Linked DNA regions of Arabidopsis thaliana. The protein of the gene in region 3 interacts with the protein of the main gene of each other region in a pairwise test. Each region holds a gene or a part of one and is shown on either strand. Other genes may lie near its edges.

Region 1 (4,776 bases), on a different chromosome or scaffold from region 3:
TGTGGTAAATCTCATAATGATCATTTTTGTTTTAGTTGGACGAATAAAGGTTGTGGTTGAGAAACAAACACGTATGCTGTGGGATCAATTCGAACCATTCATACGTGATACGTCGACTATAGCAACTAATAAGCATATTTTATTAACTACATTACACAATATTCTTGATTGACAGATACATAGATTTTATGTTTGAATTAATTAATCTTTCGTTATGTTATATTTAACAAAAACAATACACATTATTTGATATGTATTATATGACAAGATACGATTCCATGAATTTTCTAATATACATTACACATAAATTATAGAGCGTACGTCAAATCATAACATAAAATATTACTATATTTAACAAAACCCAACTCGATGGTCTTTGTCAATATCTCCCCATGCAACAAAATACGTACATCCCTCGTGCTTTCTAAGTTTCTATTTTTGTATTTTTGTTCCTCAAGTGAAATCCATATCCACTACTTTTCTAGTTGAAAAAAGTTAGAAGTTAAAATACAAGTAAATCCAGATTCACTTGTCAGCTCAATCCTAACATGTCTTTGAAAATGTGTGTCCGAAAACTTGTCAGCCCATTATTAAGTATGTGAAACAATACTTTAATTTGAAGTAATTAAGAAAAACAATACATTAAATCTACTTTTTTTCTCATGTAAAACTCTTTGACACCATTGGTAAAATCCAATCATTTATCTTCCGATCTTATTGACGATGTCATTAATTTGTTAATTGTATGATGGTTAATAAGTTTATCCAATGTATGTTTTTGTTTAATTTATTTATCCAATGTATTATTTTATTTTAACATACAATGCTAATCAAAATTTTAGTTTAAGTAATTAAGAGAGTCCTTTAAGAATAATAAAAAAATGTTGGTTTATAACAGAGAGTCCTTTAAGAATAATAAAAAAATGTTGGTTTATAACAGAGAGTCCTCAATGCAAATCAGATTGTTTTAAACCTGCACACAATCCAACAAAATCATCTCTTCTTGCTAAAGCTAATCATCTCAATTATCTCACAAGGTTCAACAATCGTATGAATGTGAAGTATATAGCCATACACCCCCATCTGTAATTAACGTGTCCGAACGGATTGTACATTAGAGCACCTCCAATGTATAGGATTCATATAGTTTCTAAAAAAACAAAAAGTATTAATATTTTATTTTTATATCCAAAAAACAAAAAAAAACAACCTATATGAATAATAGAAACGATCCTCCCAATTTTAGAGATTCTCTCTCATCTCTTTTTTAATTTATAATTTTTTTTTGTAATTGTATGAGTTTCTACTAAAAAACTACGGTTGGAGTTGGTTTTAGTTGCTACAAATATAGTAGCAAATGTGTTTTAAATCGGAATCTTAAAAACGTATAGTAGTGCTAAACGTCTACGTACAAAATACGAATATTGAACGTATAAAAAAAAACACTTTCTGAAATCTGCAGGTTAGAAAATTATTTAAGAGATCCAGTTGCAATGTGAGTAGTATACTAGTACTGTTGTATTAATAAGTCCTAATCGAATTAAGACCATATCATTATAATTCCTTTCTTTTGTGGTCACGGGGGTAACATTATTTTTCGATTATTCTCCATTGATTGGCAAAGATTCATTATCCAAATATATAAATAAATCAGTTCACACACACAACAACTGGCCAATGACTCAAACTGGAACCCACTCACATTGATCAGATCATAACACTTTTAGCTTCAGAAAAAAAAAAAAAAACAGCTATCAAACATATCGTCTTGTTACTCTATTTATACCCTAATTCCACATATCTACACACAAGCAATAAAGAGAGAAAAAAATATAAAGCTACCAAAGAGAAAATGGTGACACTAACACCATCTTCTGCTAGTACCCCAAAAACATCTTTTGATTTCATGAAGAATAACAACAGTCACAGCAGTCTCTATGTTTCTTCTTCTTCTTACTTGAGCAGCAAGGAAGATGCTCTTGTCACGACCAAGAAGCTCATGGAACCAAGCAAAACACTAAACATGAGCATTAATCCAAAACAAGAGGAGTTTGGTGATGAGAAGAAAATGGTGAAGAAAGCTCCTGAAGATCCAGAGATTGGTGTGTTTGGAGCTGAGAAGTACTTCAATGGAGACATGGATTCAGACCAAGGTTCTAGTGTTCTGTCTCTGACAAACCCAGAAGTTGAGAGAACCGTCGTCGACTCGAAGCAGAGCGCGAAGAAATCTACTGGTACTCCGAGTGTCCGGTCTGAATCAAGCTGGAATAGTCAGAGCGTGTTGCTTCAGAACAAACTGGTGAATAGCTGCAACAGTTCCTTCAAGGAAAAGAAGAACAGTAATGGTCAGATTCAAAAGGTGACCAATAATAAGAAGAGTTTTCTCGCAAATTTGGGGTGTAAATGCGCATGCTCTGATGGGGATTCTGTAGATGTCGAGGAGAAAACCTCGGTCAAGAGAAGCGCTGATCCGAATATCTCTGTTATCACAATGAGATCTTCTGCGGATATGAACACAGAACTGATCAAGATTCAGAAGCAAGAGGAGTTATCACAGAGGAAGTCTCTTGAAGTTTTTGGATCTCCAGTGGCTATTGAGAAGAAGAGTAGTGTTGTTCAGAAGAAACTACCATTGCCTCCATGGAAATCGAGAACAGAGGAGGACGACACAAAGAGTGAAGGGAGTGATTCAAGCTCGGATCTTTTCGAGATAGAGGGTCTTACAGGGAACCCTAAACCTTTTCTTACGAGGCAAGGAAGTGATCCAGCTTCACCTACGTGTTATGCGCCAAGTGAAGTAAGCGTAGAGTGGAGCATAGTGACAGCAAGTGCAGCAGATTTCTCTGTTATGTCAGAATGTGCAACAAGTCCTGTAAGAAGAAACCGACCTACTCAGATTCCTCGAATCCCTATTACCGCTAAATCAGCACCGCAGAGACGGAAATCGAGTAGCAGCAGCGGAGGGAATGGTTTCTTGATGAGCTGCAAGAGTCATAAATCTGTTATGGTTTCTGGTGATTTAGACAGAAGAAGCAGCATGAACAAGACACAACCGAGTTACGTTCCTAGATTCCCAATGGAGACTACTAAACCTAAGAGTTTCGAAACACGAAGAAGGATCAGCAACAGCTCGATTTCTCACACACAATCATCTCTTCTTTATAGTCAGTGATTGCAAGAAAGTAAAAGAAAAAGATTTCAATCTCTGATCTCTCTTTATCTATAATTTCTACTGAGTGAGAAAGATATGTAAACTTATAATAATGTCTTGTTGAGTCCATGATCAAATCAATTTAAAAGGGTTTCTTAGAGACCTTTTGCACCTAAGAAAAAGTTACTCAAAGAGTGACAAATGATTGGAGAGTGAAAACAAAACATTATGGTCAGTTAAAAACACAGATCTCAAATTCAGCAAAATAAGCAGAGAGACATTCCAAAAATTGGCTCCACCAAGTTTTACCTTTTTTGGATTTAGTCTCAAGACTCAAGAGAGAGAGATATGAGTTTTGTCTTAGCTTGAAAGGGTTAAATCAAACGTACACTAGATTGACAGAAAGAGCTATTAATGAGGAAACTTAAATCAATGAAAGTGTCATATTACCTAACATATCTAAGATCTGGTCCTGAAACTCATCTAAAGGCCATGTATATGTCTGAAATAAAAGTAAGGTAGACAAAACCTTAATTGCTAGTTGACAATATGAGAGAAAAGAACCAAAGTGCCTTACTAAGACAATAAATGCAAAGAAAGATCAAAGATGTTTGTCTCTGTAGCCTACTCATAAGGGAAATGATCGAATTTACCCCAAATGATCTTATCCAGTTCACTGATATTTCTCTGTAAGATATTTCAAAAAGGGCTAATTAGATTTCAAGAAAAGACATAAATGAAACCAAGATGATGACATCAAAGCTAGTATAGCTAGTATGGGCTTAAAACCAAGAAACATACAGATCTTGAAGATAAGTATTGTACCCTTCTCAAAAGATATGAGAAAATAATTGACCACACTATATATAAAAATCTAATCATCTAACTACTTAGTTTTCATATGTGGATGAGAGAAGAACAACAAAAGCAAGAAGACATTTTGTGTTAAGAAAGCAAAACAAGATTACTCATCTTTGAATTCTTTGGTTGGACATTGCCTCAAAGCATCCGCTTGCTCTCTTTCGTCAAGTGAATAAAGGCAAGTTGGTAATGAGATGAGACTCTGATCCCACATGACAAAAAATGGCTGAGAGAAGTTTCTATTTAATTCCATAGAGTTTGTGGTGAAACATTCACTGTCTTGATGTGAAAGGGGTTCGTTCCTCAGGAGCCCACCAAGAGAAGGAGAAGAGTCTTGTGTGGTCGTTTGCTGCATCTCCATTACTTCATGTTACCAAAAGAATACAAAAAAACCCCAAACATAGGTTCAGGAACAGATGATGATTATAGAAATAACAATCTTATATTATCTGACAACAAAGTGGTAACAGTACATCAAAACTAGGATTCTTGACTGTCTCTAGCTATGTGTCAGTTCCTAATATCTTCCACAGAGAGAAGGAAATAATGATCATATGCCAACATAAAGAAAATCAAATCTTTTTAAAGCACCCCTAAGTGTATCATAACATGAGAAAAATAAACCTTTAAAGGAAAGATCACTCGATTTTCACAAAGATAACAATCACAGTGCTCTGCCTCTGATTACCAAGTAACGTTTAATGTTCAATTGCCCCGAGTGAAACCATTACCAGTTATTTCAAGAAGATCATAAACTCTACACT
Region 2 (5,016 bases), on a different chromosome or scaffold from region 3:
CCGTAAATTGTGACATAAAGTTTCCGGTTATTGCTTGTATACCTTCTTACATTCTAAGTTGTACTAATCGCTTAATAATTTGCGTATAATGGTAATGTTATATACATTATATTATAAAAATGGTGTTATATATACAATAAGACAATCTCGCTCGCGCACATCCAATCAACAACGATGGAGATGATATTACAAAAAAAAGCATTGAACCCTTCACCTCTTACATTTCAAAGTGTTTATTAAACTAGATTAGTTACAGTTCCTTATGTAAAAATTCAAATATTTATAGTTTAGTGGGTGCACCAACGTGAGTCCGCCCTACTTAATCTTATATACATTATTTTATTGAATTTGAAAAGTAATCCGCAATATAACCCTTGAACGTGTATAGATTTTGTAAACCGTATAAGTTTGTATATAGATTAACAAAACTACTTCGCTTTGAACACTTGAAAAAAAAAAAAAATGAGAAGTAGACTCGAACTAATGACCTATAGAACGTTCATAACATATATAACCAATTTTGCTTCAATAGTTTTTGACAATTGTACAAACCCTCCAAGTAATTTTTATTGTTAATCATAAAAAAAATGTTCTTATACATTTGCAATTTCACAATAAGACAGTCTCGCCTCGCACATCCAATTCCAAAAAGTGAATTATTACAGCTCATGAAACATTATTTATTTTGTTATCATTTGTGTCAACATTATCATTAGTGGTAACATCGTCTTCATCATCATCACCTTGCCATGACCATACAATGTCTTTAAGAGCTGGTCTGACGTCATCCTCACAGAAGAGGTAATACTCCAACGTATCCCCCGAGGTTTTGCAGAACTCCACGACAGAGACTTCAGGAGCGACTTCGAATACTTCCGCCGTCACCGAGAGCCTTCCTTTACGACCTTCTGTTCTTCTTTGCAGCTTCATCTTGCAGTCTTTTACATGTTTCACTCTCATATCCATCTCACGCGCCGCCGTCTCCAGCCTCTCTTTAACAGATTTCGCCGGGAACTTCGATGTGAACATCCGCTTTGGCTTTCGTTTTATCTCGAATAGGTTAGAGAGATCGAAACCTGAAGACATTGATGTGATGAATTGGAAGGCGTTGAAGGATCTTGGTGAAGCTCCGTCGTCTTCTTTCTCGTTTAGGTCTTTCTTCTTTTTCTTTGTTGGTGGCTCCGGTGGAGATGGGATCGTTTCGTCTATCGAAAAGGCTACTGATGGTGTAAAGTTCTTTCGGAACCATGGAATCATTTTGATCTCTGACATTGAAATTCTTTGTTCAGGATCCGGCACAAGCAATCTTGAGAGTAGTTCCTTGGATTCTAAGGAAAACCACGGTGGGAACTCGCATTCCGCCTTGAAGATCTTCCTGTTTATTTCGAAAGGTTCAATCAAACAAGAAACAACAATGAGAATTTGATCAATTCACATTCACATTCAACAATACTAATATTTGAATTTGTAAGAAGAGCACTATTTGAGACCGTTATTATTGGCGGGAGTTTTATAAATTATCTAGTAAAATACGGGACGTGAAATTTTGATAATATAGAACTATAATGAAATATACGATCGACCAACATTTATCGAATTTGATATCAGATTAATGTACCTAAAATACCACCCGAATATTCACAAATTGATAATAGTTTCAATATCTTGGAAAATATTGTATAATTTTGAGTAATTATTAAAATTTGAATTACGTGAACAAATAATTCAAATACTATATATCTTTTCTTTTTGTGTGTGTAAACTTTCAAATAGTATATCTTATATCCAAGTTTTGTATCTATTGGTACAAGTTAAACTGTCTCTTTCAAATAATATTTTATTTAACCAAAAATGATTATTATTTCTTTTTAACATATATAAGTATGTGATGTAAAATTGAGATGCATCTAGAAACCCAACTCAAAATGGACTACTTTGGCTTTTAGTTCAATATTTTTTTGTATCTCACTATTCGTCAAATAAATAACAAAAACAAATACGGTTTGGGCCAAAACCTGGTCAAGAAATACTTACGTGTACAATGTCATGACGTTTTCGTCGATAAACGGCAAGAAGCCAGCAAGGAGTGCATACAAAACAATCCCGCACGACCAAATATCAGCCATAGCTCCGTCGTATCCTTTATTCCGTAAAACCTCCGGCGCCACGTAAGCCGGTGTCCCGCACCGCGTATGTAAAAGATCATCGCTGCTACCACGCCTGCCACCTAGCCCTTCTGGCATCATCAATGCGGAAAGTCCGAAATCCGTTACCTTAAGATCACCTTCTCCGTCAAGCAACAGATTCTCGGGTTTAATATCGCGGTGGAAAACACCGCGGCTGTGGCAAAAATCCACCGCGGATATCAATTGTTGGAAATACTTTCTGGCTAGATCCTCCGGGAGCTTCCCATCTCTATCGATCATTTCGAAAAGCTCTCCGCCGTTGACGTACTCCATGACGAAGAAAATCTTCTTCTTTGTAGCCATTACTTCGCGGAGCTCGACCACGTTTGGATGACGGAGGAGACGCATGACGGCGATCTCTCGTTCGATTTGCTCCATCATGCCACGACGTTTGAAAACGTGGTCTTTTTTGATGACTTTGATTGCCACGTCATCGCCGGTGGAGATCTCTGTTCCGTGATACACTTTGGCGAAGTTACCGGTTCCGAGAAGTCTTCCGATGTTGTATTTGTCGAACAAGACAGTACTACTACGGTTTGATTCTTCCATTGTCTTTGTCTGACTAGTTACAAGTATATGTGAGACTAATTATGTGGAATTTTGTGATTTGGTTACATATCTATATATATAAGCAGAAATTATTTGTGGAATTTTTTTATTTATAATGTTGTCTACTTTGTTTGATATGTGACGACTAAGTGAACTGTGAAGAAATGTTCTAATCTTATCTAAACAAAGTGATGTGCCTAAGATCTGGCAGCTAGCATAATTAAATACGACCAAAGCCAAAAGAATAACCAAGACGAAATTGATTCGCGAATTGAACTAAATCGGGGTTTGCTATTTATGTTGAGTGCCTAAAAAAGGGTTATAGAACATGATAAAACTAGATATAATTAACAAACTAAAGCATGAAAAATAAATATCTCGAGTTACGATGCAATGATCATAAGAGAATGATTTCAATAAAAGTGTAACAGGTGATTTAAATCCATTTCTATGTAAATAAATCCTTTTTTTAACCAGTTAAACAATGGTCTCGCACATTTCTGACCATGTATTCATGTAAATAAGTTCTTAAAGTTTTCAGAATAGATTTTAAAAATATAAAAGTAACTCTCTTATCCTTATACAAAAATTGTGGACGCCATGAAATTGACGTGGAATCGCCGTTAATGCTACGCATGTTTTGAAGTAGATACGCATTAATTAAAAATAGTAAACTTGTCCCGATAAAATTTCAATGAACTGTCTTTTTTTGGTAAGGCAAGATGTGACCTTTTCTACTTGGCCCTTAAATATTTTTAAAACAATTTCTTGACTTATTTTTCATAGAGGAATTTTTAATTTCTTTCGAAAAGCTTTGACTCTTTTCCTAGTTGGGACGATTGTATCGGAAAGTGGTCATTTCTAATACGTCCGTGAATCTATCGACCAAATCTTCCTTTCTACATCTTTGCTAATTTCTTGGTTTGATGGATTCTTCATATTTTGCTACTCAAAACAACACACTCAATTTTTCCAATTGTTTTCTTACAATTTGATGATTTTTCTACATACATGAAAATCTCATTATAACCGTGTATTTGGGTGGGATACTGTTATTTTCCTCTATCATAATCAAAGGTACATCTTGTAAAGCTAAATCTAAATTTTAACAAAAAAAAAAGAAGCTAAATCTAAATTTGTTCGATTTAAAGATCAGGATTATTAAGATAATATATAACTAATCATTTTAAGGAACATGTATAACAAGTCCAAGAAACTTTGTGATGTGTCATGATTTGGACCCACGATTAATGACAACAATTATGTTTACACAAATGTTAATACTCTAACGAAATACTATAACGAGTTTTACCCAAAAAAAAAAAAAAAAAAAAAAAAAAAAATACTATAACGAGATATGTATTTAAAATTGAAGAGTAAAAGGGTAACATCACAAACATAGTACACTATTTTGTGGCTAATTGGGTGATCACAGACATATATCTACTTATCGCGCTGCATTTCCGATTGTTTGTTATTTTCGGGTGATTAGGTTGTCGAAACTAGCTGCTAAAACAAGCCATGCCGTGAATTTTGCATCACATTGATCAGTCAAATTTCAAGCAGTAGTTGATTGGAATATGCCCTAAAGAGTGAAAAGATTTGCAAATCCACCTAAATAAGCCATCGTTTGTGCTGCACATGGTTTAAATGTTGCATTACTTAATTAGAAAACAATTTGATCAAATGCATAGGAGTTCTACTTCGAACGAATCTAAAGATGTTACCTCATCTACCTTATGTTTTCCTGATGATAGAAGACCCCCTTACCTAAAAATGTTGTTCAAGGGTAAACAATAAATACATATATATACATGAGTGTGTGTGTGTGTACAAGCACGATTCATATTATATGTATGTTGCCAAAACCTTTGCTATTTGATGCACAATATGTGATGATGTAAACTTTATATATAAGTACAGAATGTTTGAATGGAGCTTAGACAATTTCTTGAACCAGAGAAAATAAAATAATAATTGGTGTTGTTGATAAAAACTCAACATGCCAAGAAAAACAGATTGCTGAAGTATGGATCTTCAAATTCTATCATTTACATAAATTAAAATGAGTGATCTTGCAAGGAAAAATGTGAAGAAAAATGGAAAATAAGAGTTCTTTGTAAGAAAGGGGAAGTTTTATTGAAATGAAAATATTGAAGACTTGGTAATAAAGAAGAATGCAAAAACCGTGAAGAATCCTACACAATTTTGTCTACTTCTTTTTTTTTTCTTTACTTCAAAAGTACAAAATTTTCTCTACTTTCTGTAGCTTCTCTTTTTG
Region 3 (5,193 bases):
TGGAAAATCAGTTACCAATAATTAGAACCAAAGTCAAGATTGAGCTTGCATATAGGCTATAGCAAACATCACACGAAATATAAAATCTTGATTTGGACTAACAAATATTTCACGACAAATTAAGAAACCATATCGCAACATAAAAGAGGCGGCTCACCTTTTGAACGAACGATACGGACACAAGAGGAGCGGATAAATCCGACGACCGGGAATCATCAATGGATTGATAGTTTTCGATGTCCAAGACAACGGTTTGTGTCTGAGTAGTAATATCAGAAATCTCAGCCATTGATGGAACTATGGTGACTTTCCTCCAAGTTTATGGTTTTCTCATCTAAAAACTCAAATGGTCAACTCTACTTTGTATTCGTTATAACTTATAAGCAAATAATAAAGTTGACTTTTTTATTCTATAGTCTATACCGCATGTTGATAAATTCTTTTAGGTTCATAGTTGACTTCTTTATCTTTGTCACAAAACACACGACATGGTTTACACGATAGTTATAGACTTATAATTATATGTAAATGTAATCAGCTTTGATTAGAAATGATATTTCAAAACACTTAATTTATGTATAGATGTTAAGCTAAGATGAACAAAAAGATAAGCAAAATGTGTGTAGTTTGTGTTGTTATGTGAAGGAGATTAATTAATTAATTAAAGATTTTGGTACTCATAATATTTCGTTTGCTTAGAGGTACTGTGTTTGTATTCTCTCTCTGTTCTGCTCCCACCATGTCTTTGCATGCACTTCCCCAAACCGTTCCCGGCTGTTGATTAAACCACAAAACCATAGATTCCGGTTAGTCACGGTATGATTACCAACTTTCAAAATGTATATGATTAGCAAATGCTTAGTTTTAGACGTTTTGTTATACCTGAATCTGACTCGACGTAGCTCTCTAGTCCCATCTGATAATTGTCTGATGGTAATGTAAACACCAGGCTCGTCCTCTTCAATCCACTCAGCTTGCATTTCACTAGCATTGCTCATGGAAGGTGGATCATCTCTGGAAGAAGTTGTGGTTCTTGCTGCATCCATCGGTGGTCCTCCATGATAACTTCCTGGTCCATAGTTGCTAGAGCCGCCATAAAAGTGATGCGGGACAGATCCTGGAGGTCTGAAATTGTGTCTTGGAGTCCAGTCTTTGCTTTCTCTTGCTGAATCCATCTTTGAGTACGTTGAATCTCTCTGTGACTGAAATATAAACTTGTGTTACCCTCTCTGGCTTAAAAGACAAGATTCATATAGATCCTGTTCTGAAGAAAGACTAAGGGATCTAAGGATATATGTGTTTACCTGATCGTCGGATCTTGCAGGCGTTTGGAGAGCTTGGCGGTTAAATCTCTGTACATTGTAAAGCTCAACGATCTTGTCATAGTTCTCACCCCACCACCGTTGAGCTTGCCACTTATCAAACATCTCTCGGCTTTCAAAACAAGACACAAGTAATTGTTAGTTTTTATCTCATGTTTCAGCGTTGAATGCCATGAAGATATAGAGATTGTTTTGAGTAGTTCAAATACCTGAAACGGATCCGTTTGAGATCATTTCCTCCAGTGGGAAGAGAAGCAAATGTGATATGAACACCAGGTTCTACTTGAGCCATCCACTCTTTTGGTCCATCATCATCCAGTACAACATCACAAGACTGTGCAGAGATAGATTCTCGATCATTTCCATATATTGAAGTGAACTTTGATTCTAACCGTCCAGCTGGATGATGAGAGGAGTTTGTGAAGTCCCAAGCAGGAGTTGAACCAGCACTTCCACCCATGAAAGGGTATGGAACACCTTCAGAGGCATTGTCATAATCCGGAAATGATCTATGTCCTTTCTTCAAGGGACTACTAGAGGAACCAGTGCATGGCTTGCATTGTTTATAAGCACCAGAGAATTTCAAAGCCATATCTTTAATCTGCGTAACATATGCACCCAAAAAGACCGATTACATTCAAAAACTTTATCTTGTTTATCAAAGTAATCCATTTAAACACACAAGAATGTTGAGTATAACGGTACACAAACATTATAGGTAGTTTCAAGCCTTTTTAAGTATGACTAAGTATACTTTTTAGCCCAATGAAGTAAAAAGAGGTCTACTATGATCATTATTAAAAGAACAACAATAAAGCTATGAGATCTAACATAATTAAACATATGTATTAAAAAAAGAAACTTCATATTGTCTTCTTAGCCTGCACCACAATCATAACGGCCCACTATTTCTTTTGTTTATGTTCTTTTGATTTACTAAAATAGTTACCCCCACCCCAAAAAACCCTTTCTTTATTTCCTTGTCTAGGTAAGAATCCACTAAAGCTTATTTGAGAGAAAGGTATTTAGATCAAGCTTCACTAGCAATATTCATCAAAGTATGACCCCAATATAAGCTTTAATGATAGTCCTGATAATTCAACTGGCTACATAATTCAAGGATATGTACAATGAGGGTTTAAATTGTTTCAGTAGTTGTTTTTGACTTTCATATGTCTAGTCACATAGAGAGGAAGCAAACACTGACATGAAAACTATTAAAGAGAGATTGGTGAAAGATTCCAAAAAATGAAGTGAAGTTACCTCATTGTAAGATCTCTGTCCTAAACAACAGTAACCTCTATATACTAATGACTTCAAACTCTATTCTTTGGTAAAGAAAACGAATAATAGTCAAATATATGGACCCTTTTTAAGTCCTCTAAGATACGTTAATTGGGGTTTGTGTCTTTGTTTGTTTCACGAGCAAGGCAATTAGAGAAAAGCAATAAAATAAAGTGAAAGAAAATAAAAGCAGAAGAAGGATCAACAAAGAAAGAAGAGAGAGACCTGAATGGTTAGGCTTTTGACGGCTTCTTTAGTATTGGGAGTGGTGCCTCCACGCGCTCCATGTTCGACTTCTTCACCTCCGTCTGCTTTGGTACAAGCTATGCAAGAAAACATTTTTGGTCTCTTTTTTGAGTTGTTCTCTGCCTTTTCAGACCTATAAAACCAGAGAGTACTCTATTAAACATCATCACAAACCAAACCTCACACTACTCTACTCAAATCAATAATAATACTCTACAAAACAAAACAAAAAGTAATTAAGAACGTTAAAGTAGAGCTCACTCTCACAATCCGACATAAAACACGGGTAAAGCTTATGTAATCGTAGTACACATGTAAACATTAGTTACAAGTTAGGAACATATAGCTAGAAAAGGGTATTTGGATTTCAATTGTCGTTTTCTTATAACGCAAAACACAAACACAAAAGGACAAAGTTGTTGACATATCTCTAGTCAGGAAACAACTACTCATGTTATAACAAAAAGAAAATGTAACTTGACTGGTTAGTAGTTTAACTCATAAAGAACCAATGCTAAATATTTCAAGTACTAAACCCATTTTTTAAAAATGGAAAGAAAGAAAAACAGTTTACATTACACCATGGTCGGATATTTGTGTTACCTATTTTAAGAGCGAATAAAAAAAGATGGGTATAAATTAGTGAAGAGATCTTGATAAAGACAAAAGTGTTGAAAGAGATATTAAAACTACATGTTACACTTTTCTTTATTAAAAAAAAAAAGATGTTATAACTAGAAAAGAAAGAGAGCTTGGGGATCAGAAAATAGGACCCAGTTAAGAAATACTAATATTTTAAAAATTAATTGTGCAAATCTAAACACCTGAAAATTGTATAAACACATTATTTACAAGTAATAATATATTCTAAAGACAATCATAATAGAGACAAATGCTTCTTTATTCTACTTTAAATAGTTTTTTTTTTTTGTTAAAGAATAACTTAATACTTTTGTGTGCAGCAAAAGATCCTAAACCCATCCCTCAACTAACAAAAGTTCGAAGAATAATTACATTTTTTTTGCAGTAGCCGAAATTTATGACATTTTAAAAAAAAATCAGATTATTGTGATGACTCAAGAGAATCAAATAATATGTTCTGATTCCGCGTGTTTAACATCGATCAAGACAAATACATAAGTAAAGAAGAAAACAATTGGAAACACTAGAAAAGCAAAACAAAATTGAAAAATATAACAAGAAAATGGAATCTTGACAGTCACGTGTTAAGAAAAAGAAAAAGAGATTGGTTTCTATTTTTAGGGTTTTGAGTGATGATGGACCAATCTAAAGCGTGTCGCGACATGAAAACTAAAACTATATCCAAAGTAAAAGATAAAATCGCAAAAACAATCACGAATCACGAAAAAAACTCTGTTTTGATATCAAAAGCAAAGGCAAAAACTGATACAAAAACCATTATTATTCTCACCTCAGAAAACGACTTCTTCTTTTTTTCTTAATCATTACAATCCAAAAAATAAAATTTTGATTAGTGGGTTTTGTTTATTACTCACTCACCTTTGTGTTTCGATATCTGAGAAATGAAGCGATATGATCTGAGATTATTGAGATACTAGATAGCTAGCTTCTGCTTTATTTTCCTCTTGAAGGCTTTGGTCTATTTAGGAAGCCGGCACGAGTGGGGTTAGTTCTGAGTCTACGTCTATAAATAGACCATCAATGGCTGCAGAGAAGATTAGTGTAGTAGTGTTACAGACAGTAATTGTAATAAATGTGTTACAAAAGGACGAAAACAATTTATGATACTACAATTTTGCTTTTAATGTTTTTGAGAAAAAATTCGGCGTTTTCTCAAAAAAGTAAAAGAACAATAAATACCGGGAAACTTTTGAATGAAAATGAAAATTTATATTAATATTGAAGAATGAATACACATTTTTCGGTGAAGTTTCTGATTTGGGTTTAGTGAGAAAATTTTGGTATTAATCAGAAAAAAATGACGAATCGAATCTGTCTAAATCAAATCAATCAAGTGACAAATGTTTGCAGAAAAAGGTAACGCAAAAAAAAAAAAAAAAATCTCTGAATCTTTTTTTTTCCGGGAAAAAATAGTATTGAAAAGATCGATCGGAAAAAAACCAGTGACTAATCGTTTCTACAGAAGAACAGAAACAGAGCAACGAATCTCTCTGTTTTCTTATTTTCCCGAGAAAAATCTTCAAAAAAGAGAATTTTTATAAACTCACCTGAAATGTCTTCTTCTTCGAATCTGATTATGTAATAAACTTCACTGAGAAAATCTCCAAACTCAAAAACCCATAGAAATCTTCATTTTCCGGAAGAGAAATTTGGAAAAAATGAGAACAGAGACGAAACC
Region 4 (4,320 bases), 7.7 Mb from region 3:
AAAATATTTAATAAGGCCCATTGGGTCTAAACTGTGTTAGGATTACTAGGGCACAGAATCGGTCTCTGTCCCATTTCGCGAACTTTCTCCTTAGAATCGGAACGGACGAAGAAGGAAGACAAGGAAGAAGATCGGAGATGGCATCGAATGCGGCGGTTCCGTTCTGGAGAGCGGCGGGGATGACATATATATCGTATTCAAACATCTGTGCGAATATCGTGAGGAACTGTCTCAAGGAGCCACACAAAGCTGAAGCTCTTACTCGCGAGAAGGTTCACTTCTCTCTCTCCAAATGGGCTGATGGAAAGCCCCAGAAACCTGGTAAGCCTTTTCGATCCTTTAATCGTCGATGTTGGATCTTAGATCTGGATTCTTCACGTTCTTGTGTTCTCGATTCCTGATTTGTTTTTGAGTAATTTGTTGGAATAATCTGATTTCCTAAAAGTTATCGGAATTAAGTGGAAAGTGAATCATCTGCTTCTGGATTTGATCTTCGATTTTGCATTTAACCTTTCCTCTGCTTCTGGATTTGATCAGTTCAATACTATCTTCATACAATGTTGTTATGTCCAAATTGTTGAATTTTTCATTTAGAGTTAGCTTCAGAGAAAACAACAAAACTAGTAGTATGTGTGAAACAAGAACATGAAGAAGATGGAAAGCTGATTGGGAACATTGCATTTAGATGTCTTTTCTCGTTTATGTTTGGATCTGAATTCTTCATGTTCTTGTTGTGTGTCATTGAAATTGTTGGAATACGTAGATATCAGAGTAGGTCATTTTGGGAAAGCTATTGAATTTAAGAGGAAGATGAATCATTTTAACAAGCTCCATCGATTTTGCGCTTAATCTGTCTCTCTTCTGCTTCTGGATTTGATTAATTTCATTCTATTTTGTTTTCTCATAAGTTGTTGTTATGTTCAAATTGTTGAATTTGGAATGATTTCATTTCTCAAATAGGGTTTACTGAGACAATGATTCCAGATTTAGTCTATCTGAAAATGGTTCAGCTTTCTTCTTGTTGATCCATTTGTCTAACATTCTCTCATGTTTTTGTTTTTCCTTGACAGTTTTGCGGTCAGACACACCTGAAGTTTGAAGTCAACTTTGAGCTTATGTTCTTAAGGGATTCAAAAGTAACTGAGTTACCAAGATTTGTTTTCTTTTTATTGTCAACAATGGAGCTTGAGTGAAAAACTCATTTCCGATCATAATAATGACACACTGAGTCTTGTGTATCTCTTTTCTTCTTTTGCTATTCTGTTTCACTTTTTGTATGCGAACAATGAAAAAAAGCCTTTAAAGACTCTTCTGGCTAAAGACAAGTTCTTTTGATTGTTACAGAACAGTGAGAATAGCATAAAACTAAGCACATACGTGGAGAATCAATACACTGTCAGAAGTTGAGAGAAGACCATACTTAATATTAAACATGAGAATATACAAACTGATTTTCTGAATCATGTATTTTGAATCGCAGTACGCATATTTGCAGGTTAGACCATCTCCAATGTCACTTTTACGCGTTTGTTTGATTTAAATTCGATTTCCTCTTCTTGGTTTATATCACAAAACCAACAAAACGACACCGCGTAAAGTCTGAAAAAAACTTAACAGAGCCAGAAGTGCCCAGTGAACCAACCACACAAAGTCACAAATGGTTTCCGTGCTTGAAAGTGATCCTCACGCGCTTTACACATCGCGTAGATACCTTTTTCTCGATTTTAACAATTTTGCTATTTATTTCCTTTTAATTAATTTTCTCAAAATAAAAATTAACGTTCCCTTTTCAGTGTCCTTTCAATTTCTTTCGACGAAACTTCATTTCTCAATTTCTTTTGATTTTGATCGCTTCGAAGAACGAATCAATTTAAGCCTGCCACAAACAAACCCTAGAATACGACAACGCACGACGACGAAGAAGTCGAAGAAGACTACTACTATAAACGACGAAGATCATTACTTCAATCTTCAATCGAGCTTTTAAATTTTCAGATCGTAGAAGAAAATCGAACTTTTGATTCCAAAAGCGATGAGACCGATTCAATCGCCTCCAGGAGTTTCCGTTCCGGTGAAAAGCCGTCCCCGTCGCCGTCCTGATCTTACCTTACCGCTTCCTCAACGCGATGTTTCTCTCGCTGTACCTCTTCCTCTCCCACCTACTTCCGGTGGTTCCGGTGGCTCTAGTGGATCTGCGCCGTCTTCTGGTGGTTCGGCGTCTTCAACGAACACTAACAGCTCCATAGAAGCGAAGAACTATTCGGATTTAGTGAGAGGTAACCGTATCGGAAGCGGAGCAGGTGGAACGGTATACAAAGTGATTCACCGTCCGAGTTCTCGTCTATATGCACTTAAGGTGATATACGGTAACCACGAGGAGACTGTGAGACGTCAGATCTGTAGAGAGATCGAGATTTTACGAGATGTGAATCATCCAAACGTTGTGAAATGTCACGAGATGTTTGATCAGAACGGTGAGATCCAGGTTTTGCTTGAGTTTATGGATAAAGGTTCTTTAGAAGGTGCTCATGTGTGGAAAGAGCAACAATTAGCTGATCTATCTCGTCAGATTCTTAGTGGTTTAGCTTATCTCCATAGCCGTCACATAGTTCATCGTGATATCAAACCATCGAATCTTTTGATAAACTCTGCTAAAAACGTTAAGATTGCTGATTTTGGAGTTAGTAGGATCTTGGCTCAGACTATGGATCCGTGTAATTCATCTGTTGGAACCATTGCTTATATGAGTCCTGAGAGGATTAACACTGATTTGAATCAGGGAAAGTATGATGGTTATGCTGGAGATATTTGGAGCTTAGGTGTTAGCATTTTGGAGTTTTACTTGGGGAGGTTTCCTTTCCCTGTGAGTAGACAAGGTGATTGGGCTAGTCTTATGTGTGCCATTTGTATGTCTCAGCCTCCAGAAGCTCCAGCGACTGCGTCGCCGGAGTTTCGGCATTTTATCTCGTGTTGCTTGCAGAGAGAACCGGGGAAAAGGAGGAGTGCTATGCAGCTATTGCAGCATCCTTTCATATTAAGAGCAAGTCCGAGCCAGAACAGGTCTCCTCAGAATCTACATCAACTCTTGCCTCCTCCTCGTCCTCTGTCCTCGTCTTCTTCTCCAACCACATAGCGTTTTCTCTCTTCTTCCCTTCATCAACTCATATTTTTTGTGTTACTACTGTTCTTGAGTCTGTTGTCCAATTTTTTGCTAATCATGGAGGGTCTCTGAATTTTACATTTATTAGGGAGTAAAAAACTCGAGAGAGGGTTTTTGGGATTATTGTTTTCTAGAAAGGTAAAAGAGAACAATGATAATATTCTTATGCTTATGATGGTGCATGTATCCCCAATGTAGCTTTGTTGAATTTTCATAAAAGTTTTTGCCTTGGTTTTTCTTTTGTCATTTATGCTCGTCAATTTTGCATCTTGAAGACGAAAAGGACCGTTTCGTTTCCATTCTCGGTGTTTAGTTTTGTCATTGATAAAATGTCTCCTTGTAAAGCTTATTACCATCATGAAAAAGCAAAATATACGGATCGTAGAATCGTTTCTCAAACCTAATCAGGTTGATGTCCCAGTTTAGAACATCCTTGGAAGAGTTTAAGACAATTCCTCAATCCGAGAGAGCAAAACGACTGTGTTTAGCAAAGTGGGTCTAATTGAAGAAAAGAGGAACTTGGGCCAGCTAAAGATAAAGCCCAATGTTGAAAAGACGTCGTCTAAGGCACAACAACGGTCAAACGGTCATCTCCAAAGTTGGAAAACGACAAGAAACAAAAACACAGAGCAGTGGTGATGAATTGAAAGCTTGTACGGAGAAAGTAGCGATTCTCGCAGCCATTGATACGATTTGATGACAGAGGATGGTGACATCTGTCCTATCTCTAGGGTTTTTCGAGTCACCCATACTCTTGTCTATAAATACTAAATCCTTTAGGTTCCTTTGGTTGCTTCCTCTGCTTGTGAGTTTTTCTTTGTAAGTGCAATCAGTGTTACTCTTTAGAGTTTTTTTCTAAGTTGTTGAGATTTTTGTAGCTTGCTTTGGTTTGTCACAATTTTTGCTTATGCATTTGCCTTTGTAGGAGCTTTTAGTTACGTTTTAGGGTTTTTTTTTTTTGTTACGGATTTTGCTTGCTTGTGCATTTCCTTTTTCAGTGTGATTAGTGAGTAGTTACGTTTTAGCGTTTGATCCTTCTTTATTTTTGTCATTCTTTGGTAAAGAAGCATCACACTGGCTCGATTTAACCACAAACTCCTTCCTCTGTTTTTTGTCATTGATAAAAATGTCATCTTTTTACTATTTCAGTGTGATTAGTG

The links.
Region 1: the proteins of BRX (region 3) and PKS1 interact in binary tests that used the Arabidopsis thaliana proteins (3 or more experiments, as listed by UniProt).
Region 2: the proteins of BRX (region 3) and CIPK16 interact in binary tests that used the Arabidopsis thaliana proteins (3 or more experiments, as listed by UniProt).
Region 4: the proteins of BRX (region 3) and MKK4 interact in binary tests that used the Arabidopsis thaliana proteins (3 or more experiments, as listed by UniProt).

Annotation. Positions count from the first base shown.
Region 1 is NC_003071.7:853,545-858,320, reverse strand, and holds PKS1 (phytochrome kinase substrate 1), read left to right. Parts: upstream 1-1,595; 5' UTR 1,596-1,852; coding exon 1,853-3,172; 3' UTR 3,173-4,244; downstream 4,245-4,776. UniProt on the Arabidopsis thaliana protein: May be responsible for light-regulated cytoplasmic sequestration of phytochromes or may be a negative regulator of phytochrome B signaling. Component of the network that modulates the very low-fluence response (VLFR) branch of phyA signaling.
Region 2 is NC_003071.7:10,669,876-10,674,891, forward strand, and holds CIPK16 (CBL-interacting protein kinase 16), read right to left. Parts: upstream 3,018-5,016; 5' UTR 2,736-3,017; coding exon 2,035-2,735; intron 1,376-2,034; coding exon 667-1,375; 3' UTR 535-666; downstream 1-534. UniProt on the Arabidopsis thaliana protein: CIPK serine-threonine protein kinases interact with CBL proteins. Binding of a CBL protein to the regulatory NAF domain of CIPK protein lead to the activation of the kinase in a calcium-dependent manner.
Region 3 is NC_003070.9:11,445,556-11,450,748, reverse strand, and holds BRX (DZC (Disease resistance/zinc finger/chromosome condensation-like region) domain containing protein), read right to left. Parts: upstream 3,463-5,193; 5' UTR 3,429-3,462; coding exon 3,427-3,428; intron 2,986-3,426; coding exon 2,832-2,985; intron 1,924-2,831; coding exon 1,532-1,923; intron 1,435-1,531; coding exon 1,305-1,434; intron 1,203-1,304; coding exon 883-1,202; intron 775-882; coding exon 696-774; 3' UTR 557-695; downstream 1-556. Other genes in the region: NIP3;1 (NOD26-like intrinsic protein 3;1), read right to left, coding at 158-289. UniProt on the Arabidopsis thaliana protein: Acts as a regulator of cell proliferation and elongation in the root and shoot. Regulates roots architecture and primary root protophloem differentiation.
Region 4 is NC_003070.9:19,152,543-19,156,862, forward strand, and holds MKK4 (mitogen-activated protein kinase kinase 4), read left to right. Parts: upstream 1-1,780; 5' UTR 1,781-2,032; coding exon 2,033-3,133; 3' UTR 3,134-3,796; downstream 3,797-4,320. Other genes in the region: AT1G51650 (ATP synthase epsilon chain), read left to right, coding at 138-321, 1,071-1,099.